4 linked regions of the Arabidopsis thaliana genome follow. The protein of the gene in region 1 interacts with the protein of each later gene in a biochemical or structural test. Each region holds a gene or a part of one and is shown in the gene's direction. Other genes may lie near its edges.

Evidence for each region.
Region 2: the proteins of REV (region 1) and ZPR2 form a complex in vitro, tested with the Arabidopsis thaliana proteins (one study listed by BioGRID).
Region 3: the proteins of REV (region 1) and ZPR3 form a complex in vitro, tested with the Arabidopsis thaliana proteins (2 studies listed by BioGRID).
Region 4: the proteins of REV (region 1) and ZPR1 form a complex in vitro, tested with the Arabidopsis thaliana proteins (one study listed by BioGRID).

The regions. Positions count from the first base shown.
Region 1 is NC_003076.8:24,392,938-24,403,916, forward strand, and holds REV (Homeobox-leucine zipper family protein / lipid-binding START domain-containing protein), read left to right. Parts: upstream 1-4,043; 5' UTR 4,044-4,796; coding exon 4,797-5,029; intron 5,030-5,337; coding exon 5,338-5,500; intron 5,501-5,617; coding exon 5,618-5,691; intron 5,692-5,769; coding exon 5,770-5,860; intron 5,861-5,951; coding exon 5,952-6,047; intron 6,048-6,134; coding exon 6,135-6,248; intron 6,249-6,330; coding exon 6,331-6,414; intron 6,415-6,489; coding exon 6,490-6,645; intron 6,646-6,733; coding exon 6,734-6,808; intron 6,809-6,889; coding exon 6,890-6,996; intron 6,997-7,079; coding exon 7,080-7,254; intron 7,255-7,341; coding exon 7,342-7,530; intron 7,531-7,615; coding exon 7,616-7,696; intron 7,697-7,781; coding exon 7,782-7,916; intron 7,917-7,998; coding exon 7,999-8,336; intron 8,337-8,424; coding exon 8,425-8,533; intron 8,534-8,610; coding exon 8,611-8,760; intron 8,761-8,837; coding exon 8,838-8,996; 3' UTR 8,997-9,258; downstream 9,259-10,979. Other genes in the region: AT5G60700 (glycosyltransferase family protein 2), read right to left, coding at 9,392-10,413, 10,491-10,979. UniProt on the Arabidopsis thaliana protein: Probable transcription factor involved in the regulation of interfascicular fiber (cortical cells) and secondary xylem differentiation in the inflorescence stems. Required for lateral shoot meristems (LSMs) and flower meristems (FMs) initiation.
Region 2 is NC_003074.8:22,496,375-22,502,661, reverse strand, and holds ZPR2 (binding protein), read left to right. Parts: upstream 1-5,186; 5' UTR 5,187-5,219; coding exon 5,220-5,344; intron 5,345-5,442; coding exon 5,443-5,638; 3' UTR 5,639-5,787; downstream 5,788-6,287. Other genes in the region: AT3G60910 (S-adenosyl-L-methionine-dependent methyltransferases superfamily protein), read right to left, coding at 98-150, 237-256, 352-420, 520-633, 752-935; FLA10 (FASCICLIN-like arabinogalactan-protein 10), read left to right, coding at 1,821-3,089; DHDPS1 (dihydrodipicolinate synthase 1), read right to left, coding at 6,120-6,287. UniProt on the Arabidopsis thaliana protein: Competitive inhibitor of the HD-ZIPIII transcription factors in shoot apical meristem (SAM) development. Acts by forming non-functional heterodimers. Part of a negative feedback loop. Essential for proper functioning of stem cells in the SAM.
Region 3 is NC_003074.8:19,555,412-19,562,678, reverse strand, and holds ZPR3 (binding protein), read left to right. Parts: upstream 1-3,355; 5' UTR 3,356-3,767; intron 3,768-4,571; 5' UTR 4,572-4,584; coding exon 4,585-4,788; 3' UTR 4,789-5,163; downstream 5,164-7,267. Other genes in the region: PAP20 (Purple acid phosphatases superfamily protein), read left to right, coding at 1-217, 383-713, 795-883, 971-1,154. UniProt on the Arabidopsis thaliana protein: Competitive inhibitor of the HD-ZIPIII transcription factors in shoot apical meristem (SAM) development. Acts by forming non-functional heterodimers. Part of a negative feedback loop. Involved in SAM development and lateral organ patterning.
Region 4 is NC_003071.7:18,732,775-18,739,316, reverse strand, and holds ZPR1 (binding protein), read left to right. Parts: upstream 1-4,975; 5' UTR 4,976-5,258; coding exon 5,259-5,485; intron 5,486-5,585; coding exon 5,586-5,769; 3' UTR 5,770-6,042; downstream 6,043-6,542. Other genes in the region: AT2G45460 (SMAD/FHA domain-containing protein), read left to right, coding at 1-92, 180-230, 334-432, 526-585, 788-912, 1,099-2,263; DHDPS2 (dihydrodipicolinate synthase), read right to left, coding at 6,450-6,542. UniProt on the Arabidopsis thaliana protein: Competitive inhibitor of the HD-ZIPIII transcription factors in shoot apical meristem (SAM) development. Acts by forming non-functional heterodimers. Part of a negative feedback loop. Essential for proper functioning of stem cells in the SAM.

The DNA.
Region 1 (10,979 bases):
TGATGTAATAAAGTCGGATTTGTGCTTAGGATATGCTTAGTGCTGAATCTTAAAGGAATATTTTAACTCTATTTTCATAAAGACATTAAAGTATATAATTTGCATATAGCCGAATGTGGAATGGTGAGATAAGCAGTCAATAATGATCCATTGGATATGTTAACAAATTGTTTGGATTTATTTAACAGTTTCTTAAGGTTTCTAGTTTATTTTTCTTGAGTTTTTTTTGTCGTGTTGTTACACATACACATGCATAGATATAGCGCATGATCTTTTTATAGAATTTGAAAGAATAGAACATACATAGAATAATGGTTTCATCAGTAGACGCTATGAAATAAAATAAGGTAATCATTGTGAGCAAAAAGACTAATTTCAACCGGAAGTTAAAAGGAAGAAGTCGATCTTTAATTAACTATTTTTCCAACTGTTTAATTTGTCGCTTGTGAAAGAATCAAGCACATGGGTCGCTATACTACAATGTGAAATTGTGAATTAGTATCATTATCAGTATTCAGTCATAACTAACGACAAGTGTCTCAAAGTTTGAATCAACCTAGAAAATCATGACAAATGAAAACCCCATAAAAGCAGCAGATTTATGAATGATAGTAACAATCAGATTCATATACATAAAACAAATCTTGGAAAAAAGATATAGCTAGTTAGTTCAACTAATTAATAGAAACATACCACTTCACAGATCATCAGATCATACAATTATTTTGACCATAGGTGAATCATATTATGATCAAGTGAACTCTACTGACAATCAAAACAATATTTTGGAAACAGTTGTTTAGATTGTGTAACTACAATCAGTAAGTTTGATATATTTACTAATATTGTTTCAGCTCTGTTTACCTATTGTGCACTATTTGAATGAATCTTACTGATTATATACAGACTGATTATATAATATGAATAATTATGACAAAATACATAAGTTAATTCTATAATAAAGTTATTATAATCTGATACAAAATCAGTTGAATACTACTACTAAAATTATACTATAATAAAGAGATAAATGGGTGTAAATGTGTGGTCAGCACGTGAGAGTTACTTTTGGCGCATGCGAAAAGCTGATGGAAATACCACATCGTCAAAACTTTTCATTTTATATTATTATACTGAAATAGTGAAATGGTCTCAAATGAAAAAGTAAAATAAAATTGTGTTCAAATGATCTTAAAATGTATTTTCTTTCGGCAAGTTGAAATTCTTATTACCAAATCAACTTGCTTAAATAGAAATTGAGTATGGTTGATTAAATAAAAAAATGTGTGAGCCAAAAACGAGAGAGAATGAAATTGTGTATTTTTATGGTTGAACAATAAAAATGCGTTAAATACATTTAATTTTGTTACAAATTACATTTTTCTTATTAATTTTGGGCTTAAACATAGTAATTCTTAATAAGTGACATTTGATAGATATCACATACATGATCTTTCAAATTTGTTTTTGCTGTATCAGTTTTATTTGATTTACTGTAGTAGTTTTGTTTGTTCTTCTTTTTTCACACAGTTTATTTTACTGTTATTATTCAGAGTTTTAAGTATTTAAATGCACAACATATGTATCAAATGAAATGAAAGATAAATAAATATATTCTTAGATTAACATGTACTGTAGAAAAGAATTTGGACATAAATAATAGATATGTGGTACAACAAAAAATAATAAATAAATAAAAAGAGAAGAGAAAATAGTGCGGCGATGGGTGACGGATAATTGAAGACTGAAGGGAAAGGTGGGCCCTACCTGAGCGCGCCATAAAAGAGACGCAGATTGTCTGGATTTAAGGAACCATTTTTTTATTTATTTCTTTTCCATTCTCTCATTTTAAAAAAAACAAAAATCTTTTGGGCAATTTTTCGTAAATTTGTTTTCGTTGCGAATTGGTGATCCAACAAAAGGAAACCAAATTTCTGAAAATTCAAATGGGAACACTTAAAGTATAGTGCAATTGTATTCAAACTGACAAATTAATCATTAATTGTATTAGAAAATGATATATTGTCATCGTGACTAATTTGTCTTTTGAATTCAATTGTAACTACTAACTACTGGTTTTCATTTTTCAGATTATTTCTCGGTTCTTAAAAAGAAGAAAACACATACCTAATATCGTGTGTATCAAAAAGCCATGTGCGAGCAACCATCTTCCTTTGTAAATTTGACCCTTTTGTGTATCATTTATATCGAGTGTTTGTAATTGTTGGTTGATTTTGTGTTATTTGAGAGGCTAGTCATTTACGCAATTTCTAAATTTATCTTTTAGTACGTATCAAGATGTTGGAGCAACTGTGTCCAACATACATGACATGTGAAATTATAATTGTTAAAACAAAAGGACATGTGAAATTACTATCTACTTAAAGAAAAAAACCAGAAAGAAAAAAAGGTATTAAATTTGGAACTAAAAGAAGGTTAAAAAGTTTTTTACAGAAAGTAATTACACTTGCAGATGAAAGAAAAAAGGCAGCATCATGATATGTAAAAAATTGTCGAAGAGGTTTAGTCGTATCACTTTGTTTGACTGATCACTGTCTTCTGATTCATTTTTCAGTTTTTCTTTTTCAAATTGTAGCTCACAACATTAAAGTTATTCACTGCTTTAATCAGATAGTTTAATACTAGTAACTAGCTCATTTAGGCTTTAAACACCTCTTTCTGATTACTAGCCCACTCTTTGGTGGTTCTTACATATCACACCTAACTATACTGTGTATCCTTGAAGTGAAAATCAAATTTACCATTCGTATCTTACTTACATACACTATTATTTTTCCTTTTTTTTTTCACTCAAGGTCCTACTCTTTGATACCATAGCTATAATTTGGAAATAACTATTTACAGTGTATTAATTATACCTAAACAGTTTAATCTGGACTAAATATTTAGATAGATGTTACAAATTTGGTTCGTCTAATAAATGAAGACAAGACATGCTAACAAATAAAACACTACCACAAAGGGATAGTGAGAGAATGTGTTTTGCAACAAGACATAACTTTGATTGCTTGATGTGTTAAAATGATTATGTCAGAGACAGAGAGCGATCATAGGCTTTCTTTATTTCTAATAACGTCGATTTTCTTCTTCTTTTCTGGCGTTCAATAATGTCGAATTTTAATTCTTGATTTTTGCAACTCTAAATATCCTTAACGACATTGAAGCATGGTGCATGTCGATCGTTAATAATAAAGTTGAACAAAAATCTTGTTGAATTAATTACAAGCACAGCTTCAATAGCATAACTTTACGAGACGACCAGATCTTATAGACGAGTTTCGCTTTTACTTTTTTAATGATTAAAACTTTCATCGGAGAACATAAGTCTTCCTCTTAATTAAAATTACTACCCGTGCATAACTTCATTTTTTAAAACATCAATAATTAATATACGATTACAACCCTAAAAATTAGTCACCCTATAGTACATAACAATGATGATAGTTTTTTCTTTTTGGTGTAATGTTAAAATAAAATGTTAGCCATATTAAACGATAGTTCTTTTAACTTAGCCATTGTAAGATATTTCTTACTTTAGTTTTTCCGTAGAAGATATTCATTATGGTATGGATAGTATATACCTTAACTGAGTTTAAATATTGGATCAATACCATCTAATAACACATATCTGATGTTCAATACTTAATAATTTTGCATAAATGTTAAGCGTGACAACTTAAAAAAAAACACATCAACAGAGTAAAAACATATCTGTTAAATAAGAAAAATGTCATTTTTATAACACTTAAAAAAAAATGCATGAAGCGTTTCATAGTTTTTTTTTTTTTCAAAGTAATGTAGGCGTTAGATATTTCTTACAATTTTTTGAAAAATATTTTTTATGTTGTGATTGGCTGATATCAGGTAACTAAAACTTCTTTAAAGAATTGAAGAAAATTTGAAAAGTAAATAGATGGATTCCTATATTGTCATTTCAGAAAAACAGTAGGGACAACTTCGTAAATGATAGCCGTATTATTAAACAAATAAATTTAAATTAGAAAAAAGGAAAAAAACGCACCACTTTTCTTTTTCGCTGATGCACAGCTTGTCGGTTTGCGTGCAAATCCTCTGTTTCACAATTTTTTCTTCTTCTCTTTCTCTCTCTTCCTCTTTTATTCCTCTGTTCCAAAGTTCAGCAGAAGCAAACACACACATCACTTACTATCTCTCTCTCCTTCTTCACTTTCTCACATAACCAAACTCTCTCTTTCTCTCTTTTTTTTGAAGTCTCCTTTGAAACTATAATTGCCCTTTAGTGTTGTTCGTTCAGAGTCTTCAAAACTTTTGCAGCTTCAATTGTACCTGGGTTTCTTCTTCATTGTTCCTAAGGTTTCTGTGTCCTTCAATTCTTCTGATATAATGCTTCTTTAAGAGAGTTGACATCATCACTTTCTTGGGGTACTCTTCTCTGTTTCTCCCCAGAAAATCCAACTCTGTAATTTTGGGTCTTTATTCTGTTTTTCTCTTTGAAGAATCTTTAAAATTCTCAGATCTTCTGAATCTCTCTTCTTTAAAACTTTTTTTAACTTTATTTTTTGTACTCGCTTCTTTGCCTTCATTTTTCTCGTATCCACATGTCGTTGGTCTTTCGCTACAAGCCACGACCGTAGAATCTTCTTTTGTCTGAAAAGAATTACAATTTACGTTTCTCTTACGATACGACGGACTTTCCGAAGAAATTAATTTAAAGAGAAAAGAAGAAGAAGCCAAAGAAGAAGAAGAAGCTAGAAGAAACAGTAAAGTTTGAGACTTTTTTTGAGGGTCGAGCTAAAATGGAGATGGCGGTGGCTAACCACCGTGAGAGAAGCAGTGACAGTATGAATAGACATTTAGATAGTAGCGGTAAGTACGTTAGGTACACAGCTGAGCAAGTCGAGGCTCTTGAGCGTGTCTACGCTGAGTGTCCTAAGCCTAGCTCTCTCCGTCGACAACAATTGATCCGTGAATGTTCCATTTTGGCCAATATTGAGCCTAAGCAGATCAAAGTCTGGTTTCAGAACCGCAGGTATTGCTTCTCTTTAATATGGCCAGGATTAATTTTTAATTAAGGATTTTGAATTTGATTCTATTGGATTTAGTGTGTTATATTCAATGGATATGAAGGACCACTTTTGTTGTTATTTCAAGATTTGATGCTTCAATTCAATTCTCCGACACAATTTCCTGTTTTTACAAAAGGGTTCCTTTGAATCTGTCTGGTAGATTTGGTTATTCAATAGCTTGGTGTAACTGTTCTTGTGACGATATGGTTACTGTCTGATCTGGTGTCTAATCTTAGGAGTTTTGTTGATTCGTTTTGTTGTGTGGTTTCAGGTGTCGAGATAAGCAGAGGAAAGAGGCGTCGAGGCTCCAGAGCGTAAACCGGAAGCTCTCTGCGATGAATAAACTGTTGATGGAGGAGAATGATAGGTTGCAGAAGCAGGTTTCTCAGCTTGTCTGCGAAAATGGATATATGAAACAGCAGCTAACTACTGTTGTATGTAACTTAACATTTCCTTTTGTCAAATGTGTTCTTAAAGAATCATTTGTTACTCCTATCAGTTCAACATGTAGCTTGAGTTATAAAGTTACTGACTTGTTGTTTTAACTTCAGGTTAACGATCCAAGCTGTGAATCTGTGGTCACAACTCCTCAGCATTCGCTTAGAGATGCGAATAGTCCTGCTGGGTAAAGTTTCATTTTTGGTTTTGAAGTAACCTTTTTCTAATCTTTTTTCTTTGCCTAATTGCTTGGTTTTGGTCTTAGATTGCTCTCAATCGCAGAGGAGACTTTGGCAGAGTTCCTATCCAAGGCTACAGGAACTGCTGTTGATTGGGTTCAGATGCCTGGGATGAAGGTTATACGCATCTCGTATCATTACTTAAGTGTTATTTTATCTGTTGATATCTATGGCAATATGTGAAATATTGAAATGTTGTGTGTTGTAGCCTGGTCCGGATTCGGTTGGCATCTTTGCCATTTCGCAAAGATGCAATGGAGTGGCAGCTCGAGCCTGTGGTCTTGTTAGCTTAGAACCTATGAAGGTAAGAAAGGGACACTCTTTTCGTTGCTAAAGATACAAGTCATAATGTTTCATTTTCAACCAGTTTGGGTTTTTTGTGTTCTTACAGATTGCAGAGATCCTCAAAGATCGGCCATCTTGGTTCCGTGACTGTAGGAGCCTTGAAGTTTTCACTATGTTCCCGGCTGGTAATGGTGGCACAATCGAGCTTGTTTATATGCAGGTGAATCCTTTAGCCTCTTCTGGTTTAGTTTTCTATCTCTAACACTTGAAGATGAATGAATAAAGTTGTGACATTTGTTCAGACGTATGCACCAACGACTCTGGCTCCTGCCCGCGATTTCTGGACCCTGAGATACACAACGAGCCTCGACAATGGGAGTTTTGTGGTATGCAGCTCTCATAATGTCTAGTGTTTACAGAAAAACTCTGGGATCTTGATGTTTTTCATATGTCTTTAAAAGGTTTGTGAGAGGTCGCTATCTGGCTCTGGAGCTGGGCCTAATGCTGCTTCAGCTTCTCAGTTTGTGAGAGCAGAAATGCTTTCTAGTGGGTATTTAATAAGGCCTTGTGATGGTGGTGGTTCTATTATTCACATTGTCGATCACCTTAATCTTGAGGTACTTAAATCTTCACATGTGGCATTTTGTGTGTGTTTTCAGGAATTTCTAGAAGAATTGATTATAAACATTTGTTCTTGCATTGTAGGCTTGGAGTGTTCCGGATGTGCTTCGACCCCTTTATGAGTCATCCAAAGTCGTTGCACAAAAAATGACCATTTCCGTGAGTGTATACATATAATAACCTTAAGCTTTGATTGATTCATATAACATATCTAACGGTTGGAGGTGCTTCATGTTTTAGGCGTTGCGGTATATCAGGCAATTAGCCCAAGAGTCTAATGGTGAAGTAGTGTATGGATTAGGAAGGCAGCCTGCTGTTCTTAGAACCTTTAGCCAAAGATTAAGCAGGTACTTCGATCTTGAGCTAAAACCTAATTGTTCTTTGCTCTGTTTGCTCATTGTCATTTTTTCTGTTCTTGGTTTTCTTGAAGGGGCTTCAATGATGCGGTTAATGGGTTTGGTGACGACGGGTGGTCTACGATGCATTGTGATGGAGCGGAAGATATTATCGTTGCTATTAACTCTACAAAGCATTTGAATAATATTTCTAATTCTCTTTCGTTCCTTGGAGGCGTGCTCTGTGCCAAGGCTTCAATGCTTCTCCAAGTAAGTTAGTGTGTCCAGTATTGGTACTTTGTGTTCTTTTGACAGTTTTCTATGGCTGAAATTTGTGTTATCTATTGTCTTCTGTAGAATGTTCCTCCTGCGGTTTTGATCCGGTTCCTTAGAGAGCATCGATCTGAGTGGGCTGATTTCAATGTTGATGCATATTCCGCTGCTACACTTAAAGCTGGTAGCTTTGCTTATCCGGGAATGAGACCAACAAGATTCACTGGGAGTCAGATCATAATGCCACTAGGACATACAATTGAACACGAAGAAGTAAGGCTTCAAAGTCTTTACCTGCCGACAAAACATCATTTTTATGTCTCTCTCTTACATATATATTTGGTTTTGTTATGTTTAGATGCTAGAAGTTGTTAGACTGGAAGGTCATTCTCTTGCTCAAGAAGATGCATTTATGTCACGGGATGTCCATCTCCTTCAGGTATATCACTTCTAAGTTCTAACCCAATGGATCTTGAAATTTTTACCATTTCAAAGTTAAAATTGACCTTAATGATTTATGGTAGATTTGTACCGGGATTGACGAGAATGCCGTTGGAGCTTGTTCTGAACTGATATTTGCTCCGATTAATGAGATGTTCCCGGATGATGCTCCACTTGTTCCCTCTGGATTCCGAGTCATACCCGTTGATGCTAAAACGGTACTCTTCTTTGCTGTACCACTGATTTTTCTTTTACTTAGAGATGGTTTGTTTCAAGGCTCATTTTTTCTTACTCATACAGGGAGATGTACAAGATCTGTTAACCGCTAATCACCGTACACTAGACTTAACTTCTAGCCTTGAAGTCGGTCCATCACCTGAGAATGCTTCTGGAAACTCTTTTTCTAGCTCAAGCTCGAGATGTATTCTCACTATCGCGTTTCAATTCCCTTTTGAAAACAACTTGCAAGAAAATGTTGCTGGTATGGCTTGTCAGTATGTGAGGAGCGTGATCTCATCAGTTCAACGTGTTGCAATGGCGATCTCACCGTCTGGGATAAGCCCGAGTCTGGGCTCCAAATTGTCCCCAGGATCTCCTGAAGCTGTTACTCTTGCTCAGTGGATCTCTCAAAGTTACAGGTGGGGGTGTAAATGTTTACTCTCGTCTCTTTCTTATAATCCTCGAACTTATCGATGATGCCTTATGCTGATATGTTTGTTTTTCCAGTCATCACTTAGGCTCGGAGTTGCTGACGATTGATTCACTTGGAAGCGACGACTCGGTACTAAAACTTCTATGGGATCACCAAGATGCCATCCTGTGTTGCTCATTAAAGGTATGTGTCCTACACCAAACAAAAAGCAGAATACACCTGTAGTTTTAGACGTATAATATGGTCTGGATATGTTGCAGCCACAGCCAGTGTTCATGTTTGCGAACCAAGCTGGTCTAGACATGCTAGAGACAACACTTGTAGCCTTACAAGATATAACACTCGAAAAGATATTCGATGAATCGGGTCGTAAGGCTATCTGTTCGGACTTCGCCAAGCTAATGCAACAGGTAAAGAACCAAAACAAAAACATCTGCAGATAAATGGTTTTGATTCATTTGTCTGAGAACTATCTTTGCGTCTACAGGGATTTGCTTGCTTGCCTTCAGGAATCTGTGTGTCAACGATGGGAAGACATGTGAGTTATGAACAAGCTGTTGCTTGGAAAGTGTTTGCTGCATCTGAAGAAAACAACAACAATCTGCATTGTCTTGCCTTCTCCTTTGTAAACTGGTCTTTTGTGTGATTCGATTGACAGAAAAAGACTAATTTAAATTTACGTTAGAGAACTCAAATTTTTGGTTGTTGTTTAGGTGTCTCTGTTTTGTTTTTTAAAATTATTTTGATCAAATGTTACTCACTTTCTTCTTTCACAACGTATTTGGTTTTAATGTTTTGGGGAAAAAAGCAGAGTTGATCAATCTCTATATATAAAGGGAATGATGTGATAATTTTGTTAAAACTAAGCTTACAACATTTTTTCTATCGCATTTGACAGTTTCATTTTCACATCTCTCGCTATATATTAGTAATATAAACTATTTCAAAAAACAAAGAATCAACAAGAATCCACAGATGTAAGAAAGAAAAATCACAGCCAAATAACTTTTTTATTTATTTGGCCGTTAGATAAAACTACCTTCAGAATTTCATGCATCTAGCCGGTAAACCTGTCTGATGATTGACGGCGACAATCTCAGAGACATTGTTGCAACGAAGAACATCTTGACCAAGCTTAGCTCCTGCAGCTTTAAGACCTTTAAGCGAAACCGGCATGTTGAAGAGATTGAGTGATGGAAGCTTAGAAAGCGGAGGGAGTTTCTGGTTCGGTAAGAAGTTTCTGAAATCATCCATAAGCAATGGAACTTCGAAATCGGTTTTGTTGTGTTTCACCACATTGTCTTTAGCTGCGATGTGAGCTCCTGGTTCCATGTGGTTGGTTGAGAAGCTTGATTGGTTAGGGAAGTTTGGGTATAGACTAACGTATCCTCTCAGGTACATCATGTCGATTAAGAATTTCTTCCATGACGCTTGCCAACCGTTGGTTCTTGATTTCGGAATCTGAACCGGGTTAGCTTTCGCGTTCTCTGTGAATCTCATGTTCATGTAGACATAGAACTCTCTCCATTGCTTTGGGAAGAAAACGGCTCCCCAGCTGCATGGTAATTGGTGAAGGTAAGGTGTGTGAGGATGGATTTGCTTGAAGAAATCTGTTGGGTTCCATTTGGGTCTCTCTTTGACAACTTCAACGATTTTGGGCGTGTAAAGAGAGATCGAGGAGAGTTCAGGGAAAGAGACTTGAGGGTCGTAGTGGTAAGCAAGTAAAGCGTATTTGATCCAGAGGAAATAATATGGAGAGACTTCAATGTCGTCTTCAAGCAAGAGACCAAAATCATCATCAGAAGCTGGATACCAACTCTCGCTCACAGCACGGATTAAGCCTCCTTGGATGATTCTTCTTCTTAGTGTTTTTGGTCCATGAGGCCAATCGAATGTGCTCACTACATTGATCGTCTCTTCATCCACTTTGCTATCCATGTTGAAGCTGAGTGATATTTCGTCACCAAGGTAGTATGCATTGCTCAAAGACCTAAGCAATCTTAATAAAGATTGAGCTCGGTTTTGGGTGATGATGTTCACTGAGACTCTCATCTTATTCCAGTCTGAAATCAAGACATTTGTCAGTTTCGGTAAATTAAAACTGGAAAAGCTATATTAAAGGCAAAAAGTTGATACTTACTTGGCAATGCTGTTGATCTTAGATCAGCCATCCAGAGAACCTTGGAGATAGAAGCTCTCGGTAGAAGAACCAATGCGGTGCCATTAGAATTAGTCTCGGTAGCCATTTTCAAAGCTTTCTTGACATTCGGATCAGCATCAGCTACCGTAATCACCACGCTTGGATTATGAATCTTAATAAGCCCTTTCATGCTCGAATACACAGCTTGAAATACAGGCACCTCTGAGTTCGACACACCCAAAATAGCCCCAACTTCCAAATCAAAAATCTTGAATCTCCTCTCCTTACAAACAACCTTAGGCCACCTCAAAGCCGACGCCGCATCCTCACACGGACAGAACTTCCCACCCGAAACCGCGATATAAGCCTTTTTACCAACAGTACCTCTAAACTTCTCCAGCAAAGGACCAAGTGCTTTAACTTCATCAATCGAATGCGCGTAAAACAAAGCATCAATCTTCTGAGGATACATTGCAGCCCATTGAGTCA
Region 2 (6,287 bases), on another chromosome or scaffold:
GAGAAGAGTTTTATTGAGAATATATATATTAAAAAAGAATCCAAAAACTGGCATCTATATGAGATGATCCAGGAGCAGCCATGATGATATTAGTGACCTGCTAACTTCACCCAACATTCTCGAAGCACTTAGAAGAGCATCACTGCCACACTGGAACCCACCGTATCACACAAAACAAGAAAACTTAAAAACACATGTAGACATGAACACGAGAAACAAAAGATCAGGTTCCGTACCATCAATGAATCAAGGGTTCCTACACAATCCAGCAGCCGCAACAACAGGTAACAATATATCACTTCTAAGCTTTTCACCATAAAAACAGAGTAATTGGTGGTTGCTACAACATACCTTTATCAATAATAGTGTCAAAGGAATCGTCTTCAAAGTAACTCATATCTCTAACATCCATTTGCATATCTGTTGGGTAAAAACAGAGTATAATAGGATAAAGCTTCTTACTTTACATATTTCTAAAGCTAAAGTAATATAAACTAGAGATGTGAAAAGAAGTGTTACATTTGAGCTGAGGAACAGATGCATATTTGGTTTGCATCATCTCAATAGCCACTGAAGAGATATCAACATTCATGATGTCCTCATACCCATCCTTCACCATATCCTCTGACATCACTACACCAAAGAGAAGAACAGGGCAATCACAGTGTATTAAATTTGGTTGCTGCTCAAGTCAAATTCAATCACTGGTACAGACTTCTTCAAATCTATTGGCAAAAGGAGAGAGAATTACGGGAGTTGCCACAGCCAACCATGAGGACTCGTGAAGAAGTAGAGACGAAGCTGCGGACAAAAGGGCGGAGAGAAGAGTAACATTGGTACCAGTCGAAAGAAAGCGCGTCTTGCACGTAACGAGCGTCCCAATAGAGAGCGTCTCCATAGTTGTAAGTGTTGCAGCTCGACACGTCCCTCTGCATCTTTCTCTCTCTCTCTAAAGATCCGATCTCAGATTCTGCGGCGGAGCTTTTTCTCTTCGTCGTTGTTTTTGACCAGCTTACGAAGTTTGGGCTTATTACAGGCCCAATACATAATCATGTGAAGCTGAAGAGTGACACGTGCTCACACATTGTTATTAGCCTCATAATTGGGCTCAAAGTAAGGAATTAAAGCCTCATCTCCGCCCATTAATTAATACGGAGTAATAGTTTACTGATTTGTGAAGGTTTATTTTATTTTTTTCTAATCAAATGATAAAACTTTTGCAGATTTTTACATGACAGTAGTAAACTACGTATTTTGATTTGTCGTTTTTATAAAAAATAATAATTTCTTTATCAGTGCTGTGTCGGGCAATTAGAACCTTCTTTCCATTTCTAAAAGATGTTACCAACTATTGACCAAGTATTTAAAACTGATAACGACACTTATTTATGAGTCTACTAAGTACTAACGATATTACTAGTTGTCAAGTAAAAATATCTAAATCCTTTTTATCTGAGTGCCTTTTACAAAATTTTGGATGATTATCTAATGAGCATCCATAAATAAGCTCAAATTTTAGTTAGCTACTTGACCATGGTTAACTCTAACAAGGATGATAAATTGATAATGATATAACGGTTCGGTTCGGTTGCTTTTGGAAGAGGACGAACCATAAAGAAAGAAGCTCAAAGCCCACCCATTTTCGTGATTACAGGCTTTTTAGCAAAAGGAAGCAGCACGTGTTCTCAAATTAACCATAGTTAACTCTTCAATATAACCATGGTTAACATTTAACCTCTTCTTCTTCTTATTAACTTCATCACTCTCTTTGTCTTCTCACTTTCTCTTCTCCACAGTTCAACTCAACCTTCCAAATTCCAATGGCGACATCACGAGCTTTCACTCTCTTCGCTTTCACATTATCTCTCCTCACCGTAGCTTCTACCGTCTCCGGCCATAACATTACTCAAATCCTCTCTGATACGCCGGAATATTCCTCATTCAACAACTACCTTTCTCAAACAAAACTCGCCGACGAAATCAACAGCCGCACTACAATCACCGTCCTTGTTCTCAACAATGGCGCAATGTCTTCCCTCGCCGGAAAACACCCACTCTCCGTCGTCAAAAATGCTCTCAGCCTCCTCGTCCTCCTCGACTACTACGATCCTTTAAAACTCCATCAGCTCTCTAAAGGCACAACTCTCACCACCACGCTTTACCAAACCACCGGACACGCTCTCGGGAACCTAGGATTCGTTAACGTCACCGATCTCAAAGGAGGCAAAGTCGGCTTTGGCTCCGCCGCTCCTGGCTCCAAGCTCGATTCCTCTTACACCAAATCCGTTAAACAAATCCCTTACAACATCTCCGTTCTCGAAATCAACGCTCCGATCATCGCTCCCGGAATCTTAACCGCACCTGCTCCTTCTTCCGCCGGAGTTAGCAACATCACCGGACTTCTCGAGAAAGCCGGTTGCAAAACCTTCGCGAATTTGCTCGTATCGAGCGGTGTTATTAAAACATTCGAATCCACCGTTGAAAAAGGCTTGACGGTTTTTGCACCGTCCGATGAAGCTTTTAAAGCTAGAGGTGTACCAGATCTGACGAATCTCACACAAGCTGAGGTGGTCTCGCTCCTAGAGTATCACGCCCTCGCTGAATACAAACCCAAAGGATCGTTAAAGACTAACAAAGACGCTATCTCCACTTTAGCCACTAACGGCGCCGGTAAATACGATTTAACGACGTCAACTTCCGGTGACGAGGTTATTCTCCATACCGGCGTTGGTCCGTCGAGACTCGCCGACACGGTGGTCGATGAGACACCTGTTGTTATATTCACTGTGGATAATGTGCTCCTTCCCGCTGAGCTTTTCGGAAAATCTTCATCGCCGGCGCCGGCACCGGAGCCAGTGAGTGCACCGACACCGACCCCGGCTAAGTCACCGTCTCCTGTGGAAGCACCTTCTCCAACCGCAGCTTCTCCGCCAGCACCACCGGTGGATGAATCTTCACCGGAAGGAGCTCCGTCAGACTCGCCGACAAGTTCAGAGAACAGTAATGCGAAAAACGCGGCGTTTCACGTTAACGCTCCTGCGTTGTTCACCGCATTGGTCACTATTGCCGCCACATCTCTCTTGTTATAAACAAAACCTTAATTACGAAGACTGCCATTGTCTTCCTTCGACGAGTTTTTATTTCTTTGTGATGCTGTTTGTTAAAAACTGGGAATTAGAGTGTTACGGTTTACGTTTAATCTTATTAGTTAATTTAGAATTGGATGATTGTTATTGTTTTGTTTTGGTGTGTTAGTTTGTAGTAGTGTCGAAATATTGAGATCTTCTAATTGACTAGTTTCCATTTTGTGGTTTGTGTTCTCTTGCGTTTTTATTTGTTCTAAATTTCAAATTAATTAATTATGCTAAACAACGTCGTAAGATTAAATGCGTGGATTAATGGACCATTGGAATTTTGCACCCAAAAAAATGGACCGTTGGAACTTGAACCTGTGATATCCCACGTGGAGAGAAAACGAAGAGTGTCTTCTGGTCCACACCGTCCTTTATAACTTTCTTTTCAAAATAGAAAATACAGGTTTCATATAAGCCCATTAACTTATATTCAAAGCCCAAGAGAGCCCACGTTATCAACACAGCCTGTCGTTTTTAGTTTGGTAAGACGACACTCATTTTAGACTGTTTGGACTTCAAAGTACCCCGCCTTTTTCATTGTTTCAAACGGTGTCTAATGTTGGTCAAAAGGAAGAAGACGAAAGATAATGTTGCGTCTGAACCACTCGATGCCAAGCTATTATCTAAACGTCTAGCTGAGCCTAAATCCAAAGGATCACATCAACTAGCTCCTTCCCCGATAACATAGCTTATCGTAACTACAATTTCTGGAGTCCTCACCACTTTTTTCTAATGCTTGGCAACTGAAAAACTAGATTCCTTTAGGTGATTCTCTTTTAATCTTCAAATTTCATGCCTAATCTGTGAAACTAGGAATTGCTGATAATGTTTTTGTGGTTGACAATGTAAGTATAATGCTTAAAGATTTGAATATTTACATATCATAGATAGAGACGCATTATGCATGGGAGTGCTACTCTAGTTAGAGATTCACATATGGTACCATCTTGCAGTAATGAAGGGGCGTGGTGATTTTGATATGGACCACTTGTATGCATCAAAACAAAACTCATCATTGTAGCAACTCCAGAAATTACCCACGAAATCGTTTGCTATTTATGATTCCTTCTTCTGTGTTTTTTATGCCTTAGCTTGTATGAGATGAAGAATAACTTTCATCTTTTTGTTTGTGGTGGACAATGCCTAGTCTAAAAATAGTAAATAATATAGGTAGAGAATCATAACAGCTTTGATCATTTTGAAGCATGATAATAATTCCGGATGTTGACTAGCTCCTACAATTTGCAATTTAGTCTTTATTAGTATAAGTTTTCTTCCCCCTTCTTTATTTCTTTTCTTGTTTGTCTTTCAAATTTGGTTGCATCTCAAAAAAAAATATCAACACAAGAAATGAGTAAGAGTTTTATAGTGGTCCTAGTCCTTAGATCAATTATATTTATTTTTTACTATTCATATCACATGCTTAGATTTCATTTTACATAGGAACAAGATATATGTCTCTTTGGAACCAAGGTTTTTTCCTTAAAATTAGACCCCAATTATGAGGGAAACCTGGTTTGAACACGAGATGCCAAACCGCGAATCCAAGACTTCGACCTTTGAAATGGGTTTGGTATTAAGGTAAAGGAGTTTTCTTTTGAGCCTCTTTTGAAAATAAAAGGTGCTTATGGATTAACTTTTTAAAATCAAATTGTAGTACATGCATAGTTGGTCCAAATTTCATGTGATCTTTCTCTGTAGTTGATTACAACTAAAGTAATCAATTAGTATGAAATTGAATGATTTGGTATGGTCGATTTACGTATGTACCTCTCAAGTGTTTTCTACTAAGTTTGCACTATTAGTACAGTAACTATTCAATCAAGAACAAGAAACAGAGAGTCTGAGAAAGAGAAGAGTCTGTTTTGGTCTTCTTCTTCATCATCTTCGTCCTGAACTCATGCATATCTCTGGCCCCTCTATAATCATGAGTTTCCTTTTGCCATCATTACCTTCAAAAGCCTTGTCTTTCTTCATCACTCTCTATCTCAAAAGAAACAACTACAGCTTTATAGATCGTCTATATAAAGCTTACTCTTCCATTGTGTTTACTCAGTTCGTTTTGTGTGATAAAACCACAAGAAGATGTGTCTGACAACTTCAGAGCCACCATTCCCAGACACTGACACACCAACTATGAGATCTGCTTCGTACCATATCAAACATAAATCTAAGACACAAACCCATCTTCGTATCCTTAATCTCACCAGGTTCAATTTCATCTTCCGCATATATCAAGCGTCCTCAGACATTGACTCTATTTTTGTTTCTGAATTATATAAAACAGTACTTTCTTTTTCATTGTAAGCAGGAGGAGAAGATTACTGAAGGAACAGAAGGAGATGGAGATGAGGAACTTGAAGCTTTTCGTAGAGAATCAAAGCATCATACGAGAGAATGAAGCTTTAAAAAAGAAAGCTCTTCTTCTCCACCATGAAAACAATGCTCTGTTTGCTCTGCTTCACCCAAAATACTCCCCTGTTTCAACCTCCTTGCTTCAGTGATCTTCGTGAACTTTGTTTATTGATTCTTCTCGTCTTCTTCTTTCCTTTTCCAACCTTTAATGGTACTAAAATAAAATCAAACTAATGATTTATGGGTGATTTACTCTTCTATGAAAGCTTTGATTATTCTTTTTCATGTACCAAGTATTAACATACATATCCATGATCACTTTCAACTAAAAAATTTCGTTGCTTAATATGCCGATCCGTGATAGAGATGTTTCCGACGACCCAAACCTCAGACAACCATCATGTCGTTTTATACAACAGAGCAAACACGCAAAGACAAAACACAATCATCCAGAGAGGAGAGGGAGAGAGAGATAGAGTAAGCAAAAGCCATTAGATTCATCACCAAAAGTAACAGACCAAACATTACAACAAGTAGAAGTCTTGATCCATCTGTGAGTTTCTCATCAGCTAAATAACTAACAACTGAACGAAGAAAGTATAAACACAACCAATCTTCAGGGAAGAGACTCTAATATCGACCGATTAAGATGAAGTCATCATCATCAAGTACCTGAACATCTCTGTCTCCTACAAAATGCTCCCTTCCGATTTCCTTCACCAGTTTAACGAACTCAATCCTTTTGGACAGAGGCAATGGCACATAAGGTAACCGAAAAACCGGCCTCGCAACTCCTAA
Region 3 (7,267 bases), on another chromosome or scaffold:
AATCAACATTGGAACATGTATCAAAATGGGATTATGATGTTTTCATCTTGCCTGGTGATCTGTCATACGCTAACATGTACCAACCACTGTGGGACACTTTTGGTCGCTTGGTGCAGCCACTTGCGAGCCAAAGACCTTGGATGGTCACTCATGGCAACCACGAGCTCGAAAAAATACCTATCTTACACAGTAACCCATTCACCGCCTATAACAAGAGGTAAGTTATTTCGATTTGTCTAGCCAACAACCAAACCTACTTTTCTTTTTAAGCTCCTTATTTATTGTATTAATTTTGGGTTTATCAGTTTTATTATGGTCTACTTTTTATTATTAAAAGAACTTTGTTATGCTAATTTTAGATATTTTTGTATACACGTTACAGGTGGCGCATGCCATTTGAAGAGAGTGGCTCGAGCTCGAATTTGTACTATTCTTTCAACGTTTATGGAGTCCACATTATAATGTTGGGGTCATACACAGATTTTGAGCCTGGCTCGGAGCAGTACCAATGGTTAGAAAATAATCTCAAGAAAATCGACCGTAAGACCACACCGTGGGTTGTGGCTGTGGTGCATGCGCCTTGGTACAACTCCAACGAAGCTCACCAAGGAGAGAAAGAGAGTGTGGAGATGAAAGAATCCATGGAAACTCTTCTTTACAAAGCTCGTGTCGATTTGGTTTTTGCAGGTCACGTTCATGCTTACGAGCGTTTTGTAAGTCTAAAGGGTTTCATTAAAAAACTGCATTGATTTTTTTTTATATATATAGAGCTAATTTGTGTGTTTATTTGACAGAGTCGAGTGTACCAAGATAAGTTCGACAAATGTGGTCCGGTTTATATTAACATCGGAGATGGTGGGAATCTAGAAGGCCTTGCTACCAAGTAAGATCTTCGTTAAATGAGATTTTTTATAAACAAAATTTGAAAATGAAACTAATTAAATGTTAATGTTTTTGATAATCATCATAGGTATAGAGATCCAAATCCCGAAATATCATTGTTTAGAGAAGCAAGTTTCGGGCATGGTCAATTGGTGGTCGAGAATGCGACTCATGCACGTTGGGAATGGCACAGGAACGACGATGATGTGTCGGTTGAAAAGGATTCGGTTTGGTTAACCAGTCTCTTAGCCGATTCATCTTGTAAGATTTAGACCCCCTCGGTTCGTATTCTTGAATGTGGTTAGGACTTGTTCCTCATCATTGATTCTATAAGATTATATGTTAAATGTCGATGTAGAATCGTAGATACTAAAAGTACTTATATATAGTATTGAGTATTGACAACAATATCAAAACAGGACACAAATGTTTTGATACCAAGTCAATTAAGAATTATATCTCATTTATATTTTAAGTTGTTATATTTTCTTTGTTGCTTTTCAACTTTTCAAATCCTTATCACTTTTTGCATATTGCTAATTCATATCAAACTAGATTTGCTTGTTGAATCGTGAGCGTCGATATTTATCCATATTTAAATGAAAATTACTTCTGTAGTAGTCCATCCAAACATCTGTAGTAGTCCTTTATTTAAAAGTTAAGATGTGCAATGATAATGTTTGCATGCAGTCTAATATGAACACACTTTACACCTTATGAATTCTGAATCGTCTGGCGCAAACATCTAACCACCAAAAACCTAAAAAAACAATCAGAAGAACGAAGAATGGAGAATAGAACAGAGAATCATTTATGTGAGATTTGATTTACCTAACTCTTCCGCCACCACCGACGCAGCAGATGATGCGACATCAATCGCCGGTAAATCAATCTCGGGTATAGCAATCGAACCACTGCGCACATCGCCTTCGAGGTGGATGTGGACTCCTTCAAATAAAGAGATTTCAGTACTTTTCTTGTGCAAAAGAGGCATGCTCCATCATACAACATGAATGTATACATACAGTAGTACGTAGCAAAATGAAATATACGTCATATAAACACAAACTTATATAGACTTTTAATCAGTTAAATTACGGTATATTTTTTTAATTCGTTTGTGTTTATATTATAAAGTTCAAAAAAGATTAGGTTAGATTAACAAAGGAGAAAATAACTAGAAAATTCCAATTAATTAATAAAAGCGAAATATAGTTTCTCTGAATGGTAATCTAATATTCTATACCAAACATTTACTACATTAATAGGGGTTACCAAAACCGAATATTTGAATATTCTTAGGTTTTTGAAATTTACATGGTAAAGAGACAAAGTTTTCAACCTTTTTGGGGTGTGAAAATTGGTCCGACTGGGTTATGATTAACCAAAATTAATCCTAGAACCAACTATATTTATAAATTAAAGTTTCATTTTATAAATAAAAATCAACACCAAACCGAATTGTCAAACTTAGACCAAAGCAATGAGGGGTAGAAACGGCATTGCATAGGCCAGCAAGAAATGAAGCTGCTCACACCTTTAAAATCATTGCCTTTGGTGTAAGCAAGTGTACCCACTCTTTAGTTCCATTTCAAGACACACCTACTTAATACTAATTGTGTTTCAGTTTTGTTTAACTTCTACAATCAGCATATTTACAAAAAACACAATTTCTCACATTTATTCCGTGAAAGAAGGGTTAAAAGAAGCCGTACAAGATTTATATACACAAGCCAAAGTAGTTTTAAATAAACGTGAAATTGTAGTCATCTTCTTTTTGGGGGTTAAGTCATGGGCAAACGAACGAGTTTTATTCAAAGGCATGTGAAGTTACGAAAAAAAGAGAAGTCATAAATACATCCAAAAACAACCACCTCACTGTTTATGATGTTTCACGTTCTACAACACTTTTGATCCATGATTATTTTTTGTAGGTTTTACGGCTCCAAAGTCCAAACACTCTTCTTCTTCATTATTTCTTTCTTTTTTTCTTCTCCCACCATAATTATATCAAATCTTGAATGCTGAGACAATATAAGAGGACAAAAAAATGCATTTTCAAATTGTGGTATACTATGATTTTCATACAAAGAAAAAAGTAACAAATAGTTTAACACACAAAGGAAACTATTTGTATCCGAAATAATAATCTAAAACATAATAATGGTGGAGTGTAATATTTGAACTAAACCAAGATTGAGCTAACCGGGACATGAGATGGGGAAAGAGAGCATTTACAAAATGGTCCAAAACGGTTGAAATAGAATCATGAAGGATGATGGTTCGAACCAATCTTTACCATCATTGCGAATCTTTAGAGGTCGATGGCCTCTTCTACTATAGCCCCTCTCATTAGTCCTACACAAATGACAATATTACCCTCCTCTGTACTACTTCCTTCGTAATGACGTAAATACCCTTACTCTAGTTCTTTTAACCGAATCTTCTGTTTAGAGGACGAATACGATGAAGAGCCAAAGGAAGTGCTAGGGGATCTTTCGGAAATTACGAAAATATCCCTGAAGATCAATTTCGAAAGAAGAGCAAGCAAGAAAACTCCTTTTTTTTTTCTTCTCTCTCTCTAACTTCTTTCTCTTTAATAAATCATCATCATTCACATGACGCAATATGCACAAATCTCCTCTCTCTCTCTCTCTTCTTGCGGCCGCCATCTATGCAGAAACACAACACAATGCATGATTGTTGTGTCAGGAGAGAGAAGGTTCTTTCTCTTTCTCTTTAGCTTTTGGGGATCTATATAACAGACAGTGTCTCACTTTGTTCTCTTTGTCCCTCTACCTTCTCTACACACACAAACTAGCGTCTCTCTTCTCTCTCTCAATCTTTCTTCGTTATCTCTGCTTCTCAACACTCCTTCCCAAAAGGTATAACCTCTATTCTCCTTCTCTCTCTCTCACTCTCTTACTGTTCTAGAAGCTTAACGTGAGTTTTCTCGACATGCTCTGTTTCTGTTTCTTGCTCTGTTATCTATCGCTTTTGCGTTCATACGTTAAGATAATAGTTATGTAGTAACGTCACACGTACAACTAACGTGAAGACAAACCCTTAATTTCTCTCTTTTTCTATGTTAAAACTTTTTCATCTTTTAAAATATTCCTCAATGATGGAAAGTTTTTAATCTTTATCTTTTTCTTTGAGGCAACCGAAATAAATAAAAAAAATTGTTTGATTTTTCTTTTTAATAGTCTGTATTGCTACGATCACCATCTTTGTTTTGTTGCTTACTCTGTTTTTTTCTAGCGTTTCAAATATAATCATTACTCTCTCTGTCCATAGAGGTTAAAACATTTATAATTACTGCATATATATCATCATGATTACTTGTTTTTATCTCTTTTCTTCAATTTCTTTCTCTTTATTAGCTTTATCTTTTTATCCTCCATACAAATTTATAATCATGTTCTTCTTCTCTCTTTGATCATTGATTTCATAAAAAGAAGAAAAAGAAATTCACATGAAAACGAAATAAATGCGACAAATGATTTTTCCTATAGCTAATGTAATTCACATCCGACGTGTGAAGCTGCACAACCCATGTGTGATGTAATGATTTAACATGAACAATAATAATCATAACACAAGCTTTGGTTTTATTGATATTATTACTCTCTTTTTCTCATTTATTTTTCAAAATTCGTAATAATACTTTTGTTTTGTTTTACTTGTAGCAAGAAAGCAGAAATGGAGAGGCTAAACTCGAAGCTGTTTGTTGAAAACTGTTACATAATGAAAGAGAACGAGAGACTAAGGAAGAAAGCTGAGCTTCTGAATCAAGAGAACCAACAGCTTTTGTTTCAACTCAAACAGAAACTCTCCAAAACTAAGAACTCTAACAATGGATCAAACAATGACAACAAATCAAGCTCTGCTTCTGGACAATCTTGATTTAAATCAAGAATACGTTAGAGCAAGAGATCTCGAATCCGTACGTAGGAGAAGATTAAAAGAAGACCCAACCTTTTGGAAGTATTTTATTTTGTTTGGTGTATTATAGGAAGATAAGTAGTATCGAGCACTGTAGTAGTTATTATGAAAAGAAGATTCTGTTTTATTACAAGAAGACAGTGTCTCTCTGTTAGTCTTCTCAGTCATATTTTTACTTTTGTTTCTATTTTCTATGTTAATTAAAGATCCTCTGGTGTGGGGTTGGGGACTTTAGGATATGGTTGATTCTTGGACTAACATTTTGTACCTTTGCTCCATTTATCAAATATTGTCAAGTGCATATCAATCAACTAATGTATCGTATATAACATGGGGACAAGTTATTCGATTTTTATAATCATATACAAAACGCATTCAATATTGATATATCATCTCATACAAAAACAAAAGTGACCCATTTTGTCCATGATATTTTCCGATCGAGTAAGACAGTAAGTGGAAACTGAATCGTTGAATTGACACTAATTATTCATCAGGATTAGCAAACACTTCTTAAGTATAAATAGGTCTATGTAATTTTCAAGTAGACTAGAGTAGAGGAAATGAGGAAGAAAAACAATATTAATAGTAGTGTTTGTGTATATATAGTCTACATGTGTTGTAGCAAGTTCAATGAAAGCTTTATCCTAACATTCTAAATTGAAATGATTTAATTATTATGCCATGTGCATCTGAACAATTTAATTATTATGGTTCAAACCAGTTGTTGATAATATTGGTCATGTAAATCATTTCCTTCAACAACAGTAATACTGGATAAAACCTCAGAATGGATAATATCAGAATACTATAGCTTTAAATAGACCAAAATTGATGCTACGTCAAATTTACACACACTCTTGGGTTTGAATATGAATTATAAACTCCAGTCACTCTCTAAATGTGTATATCTATTTTTTTTTTTTTTTTGTTATGATGGATGAATTGAGCATAAAATGTTAACTAATTAATTAAATTTTTAAAAACTAAATAATTTCCCAATATTCGTTTGGAATATATATTTTCCATTTAGAAAATAAAAGAAAAAGGAGGGCAGAAGGTGTCATGACATGAGATTCAAGCGGCTCTGTCCAGAGAGATGAGACAAGGGGCTTTTCATTCGGATTCTATGTGACGCCATCACACACACCCCTACAAGTTATTATTATATAGTATTAGTCAAAAAACTATTCATTTTCGTTTGAAAAACTAAACTACGAGTTCTCTGCTCTTTTATTTGACTTCTATTTTTCCTACAACTACTTTCTAAACATCAAGTCATTTCACATTTTTTTTTTCTTTTTTTTTTTCAATTCTTCACATTTTCAATAAAAACTTGAATATTTTCAAATTGGATTTAAAATAATTTGTTTCCTAAACATTTTATAATGACAAATCAAATTCTTCATATGAGGTCGATAAACAAAACCTTATTAAATTAAGGATATACCAATATTGGAGCACTATACTTTAATGTGTCCTTTAATTTTGTTATACATCAATGTGTCCTTTAGTTTATTTCGTGGAAATATGGGAAAACAAATATAAGTGAATAATAAAAATTATATTTTTAGCAAAAAAAACCCCGTAAAATAGATATTTATAATAATACAAATAAAGTAAGGAGTATATAGACATACAAATGTTTAGCTAGGTTTATTTGTCAGCATTTTTTTTTAATTGCTTGTATAAGCTTTTCTTGTCAACTATGTGTAACTATATCCTGTCATAATTATACTAGTTTAATAGAATTTACTTTAACTTGAAAAATTCCCACAAGTAATGAGTAAATAGACAAAAAGTTTTGGATATACTTAACACATATTTTAAACATCGCAAATACGGATGCAATATCAATAGTAACATTTGGTATGTTCTTGCATATCAAAATGTGTTCGACAAAAATAGACTAGAAAAACAAGGAAGATGTCGCATCGAACTCAAGTGTTTGTGTGAAAAATAAAATTTGAGGCGAAGAAGAACAATCATGATATAATTGGCCGAAATGAATAATCATCATATATCATAAAACAAGGCAAACTCGAAGTCAACTTTGAAATCTCAGTTTTAGAGATGTCCGATTTATGATTACTCCAAATCTCTTTGGAAGACCATGCAAGGCATCATCATCTGACGTCAGAATTAATTATGGACCTCTGGTTTTCAATTTTCACAATCATTATATTTCCTCACTTCTTATTTATGAGACCTAGATCTTGATATCGGTCAATATGTTATAGGTTTGAGTTACGATGTTACAATATCTTTGACTCTCAACTTATGCAAATTATATTCTGCAGTTGCTCTTCATATAATCTTATCTCTTGGAAGTAATATTACAACTCTGCAATATAAAATCAAGAACATCTGTGAGTTTTCGTAGAAATCAAGATAACACCAAAAGAATAATAATAACAGAATAAGTTATTCTGAATAACAT
Region 4 (6,542 bases), on another chromosome or scaffold:
GCCAAATTGAAGCTCAGGAAGAATTGAAAAGATTTTCTGATGCTGCTATGAGACACGAGAGGGAACAACAAGAAGTAATCAACAAAATGAAGGTATGTAAAGACTTAGTTGTGTATGAATTAATTTTTCCCATTATTATGTCCTTCGAATAAGACAAGTTTACTTGGCAAATATTTTAGGAGTCAGAGAAAGAAAAGTCAATGCAAGTCGAAACATTGATGTCAAAATTGGTATGTTATTCTAATTTATTTCACAATTAGCCTCTTGATCACAAAAACTTGTACTCAAATTATTTACCATTTGTCATTTGAGAATTTTTGTGGTGTTTTATAGGAAGATACAAGGCAGAGGTTGGTGTGTTCTGAGAATAGAAACCGTCTGCTAGAAGCTCAAGTTTCTGAGGAGCAGCTTGCTTTTGCTGATGCACAAAAAGTACGTGACCTGAATGCAATTTCCCTCTTATTCTGCATGGTTTCTCTCTTTTATTTCTGTTCTAACGGGTGCACAAAAAATCTTTTGGAGCAGAAACTGGAAGAACTTGACCTTCAAGTAAAAAGACTGCAAAAGGATCTGGACAGTGAAAAGGTAAGAATGGAAACAAATTTGTGCGCCTTAAACTTTTTTCCCAGTTTTCCATTAATGACATGCTTCTGGTTCCCGCCTCTGATTTCTGCTACGAAAATATGATGCCATGCTTTTAATTTAACGATTGTGGACATGTAGCTAAAATCTTTTTTTGCGTAGTCTCCATTGTATTTTTAAGCTGAGACTGTCTTTGTTATGTTAGCAGGCAGCTCGAGAAGAAGCATGGGCGAAAGTGTCTGCCTTAGAACTAGAGATAAGTGCTGCTGTTCGAGACCTTGACGTCGAAAGACAGAGACACCGTGGTGCAAGGGAAAGAATCATGCTCCGGTAAGAACATTTGCATGCATGGTATAATAACGTTAGGCTGCTATTTCTAGTGTGTATGATTGGTTGGGTAACCTACTTTCTGTTTAACACCTTCAACCGTCAAGTAAAATGTTGCCTTAAACTATTAAGATTCATTTCACGCAAATTTGATTGGTCTAACTATTGACACACGGAATCTTCATGCAGTGAAACTCAGATGCGGGCATTTTATTCTACGACTGAGGAGATCTCGGCTTTGTTTGCAAAGCAGCAGGAACAGCTCAAGACTATGCAGAGAACTCTAGAAGATGAGGATAATTGTGACAATACTTCACTAGATATTGATCTTAATCCAATAAACAGAAGTCCCAACAGAGCTAATACGCAGGGAGATAAAAGAGCAACTTCCCATTTGAATTTTGCTGCCAGGGCAAGCTCGTCCACTTCAGGGCAAAGGTCTACCAGAAATGAAGTTGTGGATACGTCATGTGAGGATGCAGATGCTACCCAAAAGCATGATTGTGAAATCATGAGTCAGGAAGGCCAAAACACCCAAGAAGCAGAGTATCCAAGCTCTGATAAAGTTGCAAAGGGTGGCTTTGGCTCAGATATAGAAGGTATTGGTACAGCACCCACTTCGGGAACAGACCCTGTAGGAACAGAGCAAGTCAATGAAACTCAAAGTCCAGGAAATGATTATGAGAGAAATGATCATCTGAGGAAGTCTATTATTTTAGCTGGTGATACAATGCAAATAGATTGTGAAACTCAGGTACATGAAAGTGTTCAGATTGAAGGAGCTGTTCTCTTGTTAAGGAACCCGAACGATCGAAGGGATACTCAAGACATAGAGGGAGTAGGTACTATAGGGACGTCGGATCTTCTAGCTTCTGAAGTTGCGGGGAGTTGGGCTAATAGCACGAATCCTTCTGTACATGGAGAAAACGAAACTGAAAGAAGTAGAGAAGATGAAGAGAGTCAGACTCAAAAAATCAAGGAAGTGACCATAGTACAGGATTCTGCTGGTCAGATAGGGGAAAGTCAAACTAAACCGACAAGTCCAGGGGTCCTGGTCACTAACAAGGATGATGCAGAGCGTGGAGTTATTAACGAGCCAGTGGGGATCACTGATCAAGGGAAGATAAAACATGGTACTCGTTCGGACTCAGAGACAGAGAGTTGTTCTGACTCTGATGATGATCATGAGAAGGAAAAACACAATCCTGTCTCAGATTCTGATACAGAGGGTTCTGATATGAATGATGACAAGGGATCACTCTCGTCGGATCCTGATACAGAAAGAAGCCATGAAGTTGATGGGGATCAGAAGAAACAAGTGGACACCATGGACGAAGACGATAAAGCTACTTAGCATGATTCCCGTTTCAAGATCTTATTATGAGTAACATGTTCATGATTTTACAGTCTTTTCCAAATCCCTCTTTGTTTTGTATTCGCACACACCGGGCTCATTTTGTCGTTTACATTAGAAGTAGGGTGTAGATAACGCAGGTCAAATGGTAAGGTTTGTAACAAAACGAGTTGTAATTGGCGTGGAATGCAGAGCTAAACGAAGTGATTAAAATTTTTGAAAGATTAAGATGTGTCTATTTCATAACAAAGTATTTCCATAATGTGATGCAATGATATCAAAATTGAATGAAAGAGGAATGGAGAGGGCTAAGCTAGAGATGAGATGGGGCTAAAAATAGACAGCGGAAAGAGTAAGTCAGAGGAATCATCAATGGTTAATCTGAAATTAAAAGAGAGGCTTTGATGGTGAAAGGAGGAAGAGAAGCTCCTTTTACAACCATTTCATCATTTTGGAAACAGTAGCAACTCCAAAACTTACCCTTCAAACTCTAATCAATATCTTGTCATTTTTATGATCTCTTTAGTGGTAAAAATTCTTAGCTTTGATTGAGAAGATCCATTGTTGTCTATGGGATACTCAAAAGGATGGCTATAAATAATAGTTGATATAATAATAGAGTTATAACAACATTATAACAAGTTTTGAACACTTTTTTAGAACGAAGCGTGGATGGGGTTTCATTTCGGTGTTGACTATCACCTCCAATTCCATTGATGACTCTTATTACTAGTTTGTCTATGCATTATGGTTTCTATGAAAATATATCAATACAAGAAATGAGTAGAATTTGTAGTGGTCCTAGTCCTTGCCCTCATCAATTTATTCTCTCTTTTTTTCTCCATATATATCATCAATACATGTAATGAGTAGATTTTTTATTTTTATTTTTTTTGTCAATGAGTAGCTTGTTATTTCTATTGAATGGTTATGAGTTTTTTAGCTTTATATTATACATGTACCACATGAAACTATTTTCAAAGTGTGTTTTTTCTTCCTGGATTTTAAAGAAATACAAGATGGTAAATATAGTTTTGGTAAAAAATAAATTTGTAGTTTGGAGAATATGGAGAGTATTATTGATTGGGCTATAAGAAGAGGAAGGGGATTGGGCATGTGCATGTGGAATTTGGGTTTGAGCATTGAAGAGTGGAAAAAATAGCCCACAAAATTCATAATGCAAATGATGATGATGATGGTTGATGATGATGATGATGATGAATGAATCCATCGTCGTCGAGTGGGGAATGGGGGTTATTATGGCAAATGGGTATGATGATTGTGGGAAGAAGAAGCCAAATCGGTGGTTTCGTTTTCCAAATTAAATGTGCTTTGGCTTTTGCTTCTTCTCCTACTCGAGTACTCCATGACTTTTTCCAATACTACTACTACTACATGTATGTATGTATATACAAATTAAATATAGATTTGCGTATATTGGTAAAGTCACTGCACCCGATTCGGTAGTATCCATTTTACACTTTTTCCTCTTCCTTCGATGTTTCAGAAACCATTCCCTAAAACCTCGCTATCTCACGTGACCCATCACGAGCCATGATTCCCTCTTCTTACCGTTGCTTTGCGTTGCATGTTTTTGTATATAATTTATAGATTTTACCAAAAAAAAGTGTTTAACTAGTATGATTTCATTTGAAATAAACATATTATTCTAACACGTAACCATAAACTCTAATGACCAAAACAAAAGTTATCTGTGTTATCGTTAAAAATTTAGTCTACTGCCCAAAGAAAAGAAAAAGTGAGTGTTCATTAGTTAAAAATCTTAAGATTACTCATCCAACATGTAGAAGAAACTATTGGACAGGGAACAACGACAACACATGGGTGTAAGTAAATTATAAATCAACTTTAGAACTTAAGTCTTGTTGTGTATTTAACGGAATGATTAACCATCATTAGATATGACTTCAACGGTTTGAAAATTCTTGATTTATACTCTCTACCTTGGATGCTCGGGTACGTAATCTTTTTCCCCTTTTGAAAAATAAGGGTATTGTTGGGATTAGGATTCATAAAAGCAAATAGTAAACCGAAAACACAAATGAAAGAAAAAGAAATAAAAAGACAAAGACTTGTGATTTAAAAAGTTAAGAGAAACACTTGTACTTGTAAGGAAGATCGAGGTTTTGACGTACTCTAAACCTTTTTTGACTTCTTTGGCTCCTAAATAATCATGATTTGACCTTTTGGCAGTCAAAGAAATCTGCCAAATCACTTCATAAACTCAGATAATTGTCGAATAGCATATATATGAATCCTATCCTTTTTATTGTAGTAATTTTGGATTAATCTTGTCACATAGACGGTATAAAACCACTTTCTTATTTATTTACTTTGTCAACAAAAAAAGAACCATTTATTGTTATTGTGTAACGGTATTGAAGTTAAGAACACACAAAAAGGGATACGTATGTCTAAGTCTAACCGTAAACGCATTCTGACCGAATATTTGTATGAGCGCATTCCGACCGAATAAATTACTACTACAAGCATTTTGTAGATATGAACGAATTTATTTGTAAAGTATAATTGTTGAGGTATCAATATAGCCAAATGTTACGCAGAATTGACAAACTGTCACCTTGATTTAAGCCTTCATGCCACCGTCACCAATGTAATTAAGTTGACAAACAAACAAAACTTATTATAAGTTATAAACCAAAATTGAATAGTTTCTTATGTCGTGTGTACGTACCTTTTAACGGTGAATTGAGCTTTTTAGGGAAACCTCCTAAATTCTTCCAAATAGTACACATTTAACTAATCAATCAGTCAAAAACAAATAAGATATACATAGAGAGAGAGAAAGAAAAGGACAGTTTTTGTGATACATGTTCTTCTTCTTCATCCTCTCAAAATTTCAACTTCATCTTCTCCCTCATCACATTTTTCCCTGTCCCTTTGTAATCATGATTCTTCTTTTGCCATCATTACCTTCTAAAGGAGCCTTCTCTCTCCTCTCTTTAAACGAATAATGCAAAGGGAACACAAAACTCACAACAAACTTTCTTTCATCTATATAACGCCTCTCTATATCTCACCCATTAATCAAACACGTCTCACTTATCTCTCTTCTTCATTTCTTCTCTCTTCAAGCTCCAAGATGTGTTTAAGTTCTTCAGAAACATTTTCAGACACACCCACGAGATTAGTTTTATACCTCAAAACACAAAGTCACGTTCGTATCCCTCGTCTCTCCAGGTTAGTTCAATCTCCATCATCATATATACACCCCCTCTAGGAGATTCTCATCGACTATGTAATTACGTTCTGAATCACTATTATTTTTCCTTTTTTTCAGGAGGAGACGGATGTGGCGGGAAGAGAAAAAGATGGAGATGATCAATCTAAAGCTTTACGTGGAGAATCAAAACATCATAAGAGAGAACGAGAAACTTAAGAAGAAAGCTCTTCTTCTTCACCAAGAAAACAAAACTCTCTTCTCTCTGCTTCAGACCAAAAAACTCTCCTCTGTCCATAAATAAAATCTTACCATCATCACCAATCACTAAGATCATCATATTCTTCTTTCTTTACTGAAATAATAATAAGATCTCAAGGCTCCAAGAAAAAAAAAAACAGAAAAATTTGGGTTTTACAAGCAAGGGTTTAGTTATTATTAGTGGGTATACATCTAATTTTTATCTTCTTTTTAGTGTGTCATCTCTTTGTAATCTTTGTATCTGAGTTCTTTTGTTAAATAATGGTTAATCTACTTTCTTATTCAAAGTTTTGGATATTAATCTTTTTAATCTCAATGGAGGAGAAATTTACACAGCTGGCACGAACATCTCACGTGACGTGGGCACCCCAAACAACGTAGAAAATCACCTTAATATTAAATTTTTGGATTCCGAGTATCCAACAAAATTAATGATTTTCACATGGCGATGCCGTGACCGTTCCAAGATGGCAAAGCCATGCTGTTTCAAACAATATTATCAAACATGCGTGCCGTTTCTATCTCCCTCCTTTGAGGCAACCGTAAAACAGAGTATAAAAGCAGAACATAACGATCAGAGACCAAAACAAGCTAAGAAATATGATGAAATCATTCCTTGAGTTTTCATTCATTCATCAGCTACATAAAACCAAATGATAGAACCATCTCTTCTTCATTAACACCAAACAAAAAGGAACCAAAAATTAAAAAAAAAAAAGTATGCTAATATCGACCGATAAGGATAAAATCATCATCATCAAGAGCCTGAACATCTTTCTCACCCACAAAATGCTCTCGTCCAATCTCCTTCACCAG